2 linked regions of the Saccharomyces cerevisiae S288C genome follow. The protein of the gene in region 1 binds, or shares a complex with, the protein of each later gene. Each region holds a gene or a part of one and is shown in the gene's direction. Other genes may lie near its edges. The genes, in order: CDC24 and BEM1.

Region 1 (3,929 bases):
CGGTGGATTGCGCCATAGCAAGAAGTAGTGGCAGATATTGAGCAGCAATAAACGGTCTCTCAGTATTCGCAATTGGAGAGTCCATCGACACCACGTCTAGAACTAACTGTGTAAAAAACTTGGCCAAAGGCAACTTCAGCTTGCTGAGATTACCGTTGTGGTACATGGATGCCGTAGTTTCGAGCACCTTGGGCAGCATCTCCGTTGGATTGTTGTGCATGGCCAGTGTCTTGGCCTGTAACAATTGTTCCATCTCTGCAGATGACATTGCGCTGCTTAGTGGTAGTTATATGCTTCTTGCCACGATTTAACCATTTGTTCAGTCAAGTACTAACGGTTAAAAGGTATCGAAATATGGCAACTTTTCACTTTTAGATCAAGTCACTATATACGACTTGAACATCAGAACGGCGATTTTCCATCAAGATGGAGTGGAAACCACGCCATTATAAAGGAAAGCTAGTTTTATGTCTCGTATACATGCGGAGTAGGACAGTGATATAACACACATAGCTAGACACAATAGACATCATGAAAAGGTCCACGTTGCTGTCGCTGGACGCATTCGCTAAGACCGAAGAGGACGTACGAGTCCGCACCAGGGCCGGCGGGCTGATCACTTTATCGTGCATCTTGACCACGTTATTTCTGCTGGTGAACGAGTGGGGACAGTTCAATTCTGTGGTAACAAGGCCACAATTGGTGGTGGACCGTGACCGACACGCAAAGCTGGAGCTTAATATGGATGTGACATTTCCATCGATGCCATGTGACCTGGTGAATCTCGATATTATGGACGACTCTGGAGAGATGCAACTAGACATTCTTGACGCAGGGTTCACGATGTCTAGGTTGAATAGCGAGGGTCGCCCCGTGGGAGATGCTACTGAGTTGCATGTGGGTGGGAACGGCGACGGAACCGCGCCGGTTAATAACGATCCTAACTATTGTGGGCCATGTTACGGTGCCAAAGATCAGTCGCAGAATGAGAATCTAGCACAGGAAGAGAAGGTTTGCTGCCAAGACTGTGATGCAGTGAGATCAGCATACTTGGAGGCAGGCTGGGCTTTTTTCGACGGGAAGAATATCGAGCAGTGTGAAAGAGAGGGCTATGTCAGCAAGATTAACGAGCACTTGAATGAAGGCTGCAGGATCAAAGGTTCTGCACAAATTAACAGAATTCAGGGGAATCTTCACTTTGCCCCTGGAAAACCCTACCAGAATGCATATGGACATTTTCATGATACTTCTTTGTACGACAAGACTTCGAATTTGAACTTCAACCACATCATCAATCATTTGAGCTTTGGGAAGCCGATCCAGTCCCACAGTAAGTTGTTAGGAAACGATAAGCGCCACGGCGGCGCCGTAGTTGCCACTTCTCCCTTGGACGGACGCCAGGTGTTCCCGGACAGGAACACACACTTTCACCAGTTCTCGTATTTTGCCAAGATTGTCCCCACCAGATATGAGTACTTGGATAATGTTGTCATTGAGACCGCGCAGTTCAGCGCCACTTTTCATTCCCGACCTCTTGCCGGTGGAAGGGACAAGGATCATCCAAACACACTTCACGTTAGGGGTGGTATCCCTGGTATGTTCGTCTTTTTCGAAATGTCTCCATTGAAAGTCATCAATAAGGAACAGCACGGGCAGACTTGGTCGGGCTTCATCTTGAATTGTATCACCAGCATTGGTGGTGTCCTAGCTGTGGGCACTGTCATGGACAAGCTATTCTACAAAGCACAGAGATCGATCTGGGGCAAGAAGAGCCAGTAGAGGAAGAGACTGTCATAGGGAAGAGCCCTTTCTACATACTACTACATAATATATATATATAGTATAGAAATTGGTATATCACTACTTGTACAAATATCATATTGTACGATAATCGCGAAGAACGACGCACTGGTGGGAAGAAGTGGAAAACAGAAGCTTTAAGGTAGAAACAGAACAAGAATGTGGCTATGGTAGGATAGCAGAAGAGTACCATTGCTGTTATCATTTGTTGCCTAGCCCTATCAAGACCTGTCTGCTAATCCAACCCGAGAGATCATGGCGATCCAAACCCGTTTTGCCTCGGGCACATCTTTATCCGATTTGAAACCAAAACCAAGTGCAACTTCCATCTCCATACCCATGCAAAATGTCATGAACAAGCCTGTCACGGAACAGGACTCACTGTTCCATATATGCGCAAACATCCGGAAAAGACTGGAGGTGTTACCTCAACTCAAACCTTTTTTACAATTGGCCTACCAATCGAGCGAGGTTTTGAGTGAAAGGCAATCTCTTTTGCTATCCCAAAAGCAGCATCAGGAACTGCTCAAGTCCAATGGCGCTAACCGGGACAGTAGCGACTTGGCACCAACTTTAAGGTCTAGCTCTATCTCCACAGCTACCAGTCTCATGTCGATGGAAGGTATATCATACACGAATTCGAATCCCTCGGCCACCCCAAATATGGAGGACACTTTACTGACTTTTAGTATGGGTATTTTGCCCATTACCATGGATTGCGACCCTGTGACACAACTATCACAGCTGTTTCAACAAGGTGCGCCCCTCTGTATACTTTTCAACTCTGTGAAGCCGCAATTTAAATTACCGGTAATAGCATCTGACGATTTGAAAGTCTGTAAAAAATCCATTTATGACTTTATATTGGGCTGCAAGAAACACTTTGCATTTAACGATGAGGAGCTTTTCACTATATCCGACGTTTTTGCCAACTCTACTTCCCAGCTGGTCAAAGTGCTAGAAGTAGTAGAAACGCTAATGAATTCCAGCCCTACTATTTTCCCCTCTAAGAGTAAGACACAGCAAATCATGAACGCAGAAAACCAACACCGACATCAGCCTCAGCAGTCTTCGAAGAAGCATAACGAGTATGTTAAAATTATCAAGGAATTCGTTGCAACGGAAAGAAAATATGTTCACGATTTGGAAATTTTGGATAAATATAGACAGCAGTTATTAGACAGCAATCTAATAACGTCTGAAGAGTTGTACATGTTGTTCCCTAATTTGGGTGATGCTATAGATTTTCAAAGAAGATTTCTAATATCCTTGGAAATAAATGCTTTAGTAGAACCTTCCAAGCAAAGAATCGGGGCTCTTTTCATGCATTCCAAACATTTTTTTAAGTTGTATGAGCCTTGGTCTATTGGCCAAAATGCAGCCATCGAATTTCTCTCTTCAACTTTGCACAAGATGAGGGTTGATGAATCGCAGCGGTTCATAATTAACAATAAACTGGAATTGCAATCCTTCCTTTATAAACCCGTGCAAAGGCTTTGTAGATATCCCCTGTTGGTCAAAGAATTGCTTGCTGAATCGAGTGACGATAATAATACGAAAGAACTTGAAGCTGCTTTAGATATTTCTAAAAATATTGCGAGAAGTATCAACGAAAATCAAAGAAGAACAGAAAATCATCAAGTGGTGAAGAAACTTTATGGTAGAGTGGTCAACTGGAAGGGTTATAGAATTTCCAAGTTCGGTGAGTTATTATATTTCGATAAAGTGTTCATTTCAACAACAAATAGCTCCTCGGAACCTGAAAGAGAATTTGAGGTTTATCTTTTTGAAAAAATCATCATCCTTTTTTCAGAGGTAGTGACTAAGAAATCTGCATCATCACTAATCCTTAAGAAGAAATCCTCAACCTCAGCATCAATCTCCGCCTCGAACATAACGGACAACAATGGCAGCCCTCACCACAGTTACCATAAGAGGCATAGCAATAGTAGTAGCAGTAATAATATCCATTTATCTTCGTCTTCAGCAGCGGCGATAATACATTCCAGTACCAATAGTAGTGACAACAATTCCAACAATTCATCATCATCCTCATTATTCAAGCTGTCCGCTAACGAACCTAAGCTGGATCTAAGAGGTCGAATTATGATAATGAATCTGAATCAAAT
Region 2 (3,929 bases), on another chromosome or scaffold:
GTACGTAGCGGGGATCCGTTAGCCGGCAAGGCAAAAGGAACTATTTTGAGTTTGGTGAGAAATTCTGATTTAGAGGATATAATTTCTTCTATTCAACAGCTAGAAGAGGAGTACAATAAGAATTTTGGATATCCCTATACCTTCCTTAACGATGAGGAATTTACTGACGAATTCAAAGATGGAATAAAAAGTATTCTTCCTAAGGACCGTGTAGTAGAATTTGGCACTATTGGTCCAGATAACTGGAATATGCCTGATAGCATAGATAGGGAGAGATACGACCAAGAAATGGACAAAATGAGTAAAGAGAACATTCAGTATGCAGAGGTGGAATCCTATCATAACATGTGTCGTTTCTATTCTAAAGAATTTTACCATCATCCTCTGCTATCTAAATATAAATATGTGTGGAGATTAGAGCCAAACGTGAATTTCTATTGCAAAATTAACTATGACGTTTTCCAATTTATGAACAAGAATGACAAGATTTATGGGTTTGTTTTGAACCTCTATGATAGTCCGCAAACCATCGAAACGCTATGGACTTCAACTATGGATTTTGTCGAGGAACACCCAAACTATTTGAACGTCAACGGAGCCTTCGCATGGCTAAAAGATAACTCTCAAAATCCAAAAAATTATGATTATACTCAAGGGTATTCAACTTGTCATTTCTGGACCAATTTTGAAATAGTCGATTTAGACTTTTTGAGGTCAGAACCTTATGAAAAATATATGCAATATCTTGAAGAAAAGGGAGGATTCTACTATGAAAGGTGGGGTGATGCCCCTGTAAGAAGTTTGGCACTTGCTTTATTTGCGGATAAGTCAAGCATCCATTGGTTCAGGGATATAGGTTATCACCATACTCCGTACACGAACTGTCCAACTTGTCCAGCAGATTCAGATAGGTGTAATGGAAATTGTGTACCAGGCAAATTCACTCCTTGGAGTGATCTAGACAACCAAAATTGCCAGGCAACCTGGATAAGACACTCTATGTCTGAGGAAGAGTTAGAAATGTATTGAAGACATTAGCTTTGAGAATTTGTGCCGCTGCTTTCGAGAACGGCATCACATCTGGGGTTTTATGATTTAATTTAGGACGCACATAGATAGATATATATTATGGAATTAAGAAAAGTTTATAATGTAGCAACCTAAAAATGTTACAGGTGAACATTCATGGAAAATGAAATGTTTCTCAGCCAGTAGATAGTATTGTTGAAGGTATTATTGGTTTGAGAAAGCTACTCCTCAAAAATGTCACTTGATAATATGGAATTATAATGTCGTTATATTTTCAATCATTTCAATACAATATGGTAAACCGAAATCCAAAAACTTTACAATATCTCTTATCTATTGTTATTCGACATTCTTCCCGGGCCTTAACGGCTTCTTAACTAATATTACCCTAAACGGACAAATGGCGAAGGGCCCCATTCATTTACGAACAGGAAAAAAAGAAAGTGACAATACAGCCATAATTTGATGTACCATCTTAATCAGCATATGTTTTCACTAATATACTAAACCCATATGGATGCACGTTGAAAGCACTGTGTGAAAAGAAATTGTCAAGAAAGCCATATAAATGCTGAAAAACTTCAAACTCTCAAAAAGAGATAGTAATGGGTCGAAGGGCAGAATTACATCCGCAGATATTTCCACACCTTCTCATGATAATGGGAGTGTTATAAAGCATATTAAGACAGTACCAGTGAGGTACCTTTCTTCATCTTCCACCCCAGTGAAAAGCCAACGGGACTCTTCACCAAAAAACAGACATAATTCTAAAGATATTACTTCTCCAGAGAAAGTTATAAAAGCCAAATACAGTTATCAGGCACAAACTTCAAAGGAACTATCTTTCATGGAAGGTGAATTTTTTTATGTATCTGGAGATGAGAAGGATTGGTATAAAGCTTCAAATCCTTCTACTGGAAAAGAGGGTGTTGTCCCCAAAACCTATTTTGAAGTGTTTGATAGAACTAAACCTTCCTCTGTGAATGGATCCAATAGTTCAAGTCGGAAGGTTACAAATGATTCATTAAACATGGGATCGTTATACGCCATTGTTTTATATGACTTTAAGGCAGAAAAAGCTGATGAGTTGACAACTTATGTGGGAGAGAATTTGTTTATTTGCGCCCACCATAACTGTGAATGGTTCATTGCTAAGCCAATTGGTCGACTTGGAGGGCCCGGCCTTGTTCCTGTTGGGTTTGTTAGCATCATAGATATTGCCACGGGGTACGCAACAGGTAACGACGTAATAGAAGACATCAAGTCAGTTAACCTACCAACTGTTCAAGAATGGAAAAGCAACATTGCAAGATACAAAGCTAGTAATATTAGCCTTGGTTCTGTGGAGCAGCAGCAGCAGCAATCCATTACAAAACCTCAGAACAAAAGCGCAAAGCTGGTTGACGGTGAATTATTAGTGAAAGCATCCGTTGAATCCTTTGGGTTAGAAGATGAGAAGTATTGGTTTTTGGTTTGCTGTGAATTATCTAACGGTAAGACGAGGCAACTGAAAAGATACTATCAAGATTTCTACGATCTGCAGGTTCAACTTTTGGATGCGTTCCCAGCAGAGGCCGGTAAGTTGAGGGATGCAGGTGGACAATGGTCCAAACGTATAATGCCCTATATCCCTGGACCCGTTCCATACGTTACCAATAGCATAACAAAAAAAAGAAAGGAGGACTTGAATATATATGTGGCAGACCTAGTGAATCTTCCCGATTATATATCTCGCTCAGAAATGGTGCATTCCTTATTCGTTGTTTTGAATAATGGTTTCGACAGAGAATTTGAAAGAGACGAAAATCAAAACAATATTAAAACATTACAAGAAAACGATACAGCAACCTTTGCAACAGCATCTCAAACTTCTAATTTTGCCTCAACTAACCAAGACAACACTTTAACTGGCGAAGACTTGAAGTTAAACAAGAAACTCTCAGATTTATCTTTATCGGGCTCCAAGCAGGCTCCAGCCCAATCAACTTCTGGATTGAAAACTACTAAAATTAAATTTTATTACAAAGACGATATTTTTGCTTTAATGCTGAAGGGTGACACAACCTATAAAGAACTTCGTAGTAAAATCGCTCCAAGGATTGATACAGATAATTTTAAATTACAAACCAAATTATTTGATGGTAGCGGGGAGGAAATTAAGACTGATTCACAAGTCAGTAACATAATCCAAGCCAAACTGAAAATTTCCGTTCACGATATTTGAATCTAGTGTTAGAAGACGAAGCATTTTTCTTCTTTACTTGGCAGATGCACATAGGTTGAACATTTTAATCAACTTTATGATGATTTGCGAGAGTAATAAGATTCTCCCGAACAGTAATAATATTAAGGTATCCAATTCTTCCGAAACAGCGTGATTTGTAATAAAAATAAATAAGGACATATATGTATATAGAAAGTTGCTTAAACTTTTTAGACCACTTGGAAATATTTTTTATTTATATTTTTCTTCAAATGTAAAGTTGGGTACCTAAGCTTAAATTCACCTGAAAATGAATTATATGAAAGATTTTACACCACATGTAAAAAAAAACGTACAAAAAGCCAAATATTTCCACTCAATCATAATGCATGAATTATAGGTATTTTAAGTTATATTGCTGACGTAAAATTCAGAAGAGACTACAAGAAAAATTCTGAACATATTTATTCTTAAATATGCTTTTGTGCTTCCATATGTGTCAAAGGATAATGTGGCTCCCTTTCGATTTAATGAAGTGGCGTAGATTTCATTGTGGCGCTGTTCTTGTTGGAACACTGAGCTTACGTAACCGCAGCCCAAAGATACTTTCTCTTTATTTTATTAGCGATAGGACAGGCTAAAATGATAATCACTATTAATCAAGCAGAAAGTAATTGAAATTATTGTAAATCGAAAT

Evidence for each region.
Region 2: the proteins of CDC24 (region 1) and BEM1 are in contact, whole or in part, in an NMR structure (PDB 2KFK), measured with the Saccharomyces cerevisiae proteins. Residues at the interface, in NP_009359.1 of Saccharomyces cerevisiae: Lys817, Tyr818, Asp820, Glu821, Asp822, Asp824, Phe825, Val826, Val827, Gly829, Ser830, Glu832, Asp833, Asn835, Val836, Glu839, Met840; in NP_009759.3 of Saccharomyces cerevisiae: Thr478 (codon at 3,029), Lys480 (codon at 3,035), Lys482 (codon at 3,041), Tyr484 (codon at 3,047), Asp488 (codon at 3,059), Ile489 (codon at 3,062), Phe490 (codon at 3,065), Ala491 (codon at 3,068), Leu492 (codon at 3,071), Met493 (codon at 3,074), Lys506 (codon at 3,113), Pro509 (codon at 3,122), Arg510 (codon at 3,125), Lys543 (codon at 3,224), Lys545 (codon at 3,230).

The regions. Positions count from the first base shown.
Region 1 is NC_001133.9:60,785-64,713, forward strand, and holds the start of CDC24 (Rho family guanine nucleotide exchange factor CDC24), read left to right. Parts: upstream 1-2,055; coding exon 2,056-3,929. Other genes in the region: RNA-processing protein PTA1, read right to left, coding at 1-268; retrograde cargo receptor ERV46, read left to right, coding at 532-1,779. UniProt on the Saccharomyces cerevisiae protein: Promotes the exchange of CDC42-bound GDP by GTP. Controls the polarity of calmodulin, and the calcium regulatory process of bud emergence. CDC24 may be involved in the initial selection and organization of the budding site.
Region 2 is NC_001134.8:619,275-623,203, forward strand, and holds BEM1 (phosphatidylinositol-3-phosphate-binding protein BEM1), read left to right. Parts: upstream 1-1,597; coding exon 1,598-3,253; downstream 3,254-3,929. Other genes in the region: KTR4 (putative mannosyltransferase), read left to right, coding at 1-1,029; YBR200W-A (uncharacterized protein), read left to right, coding at 3,709-3,873.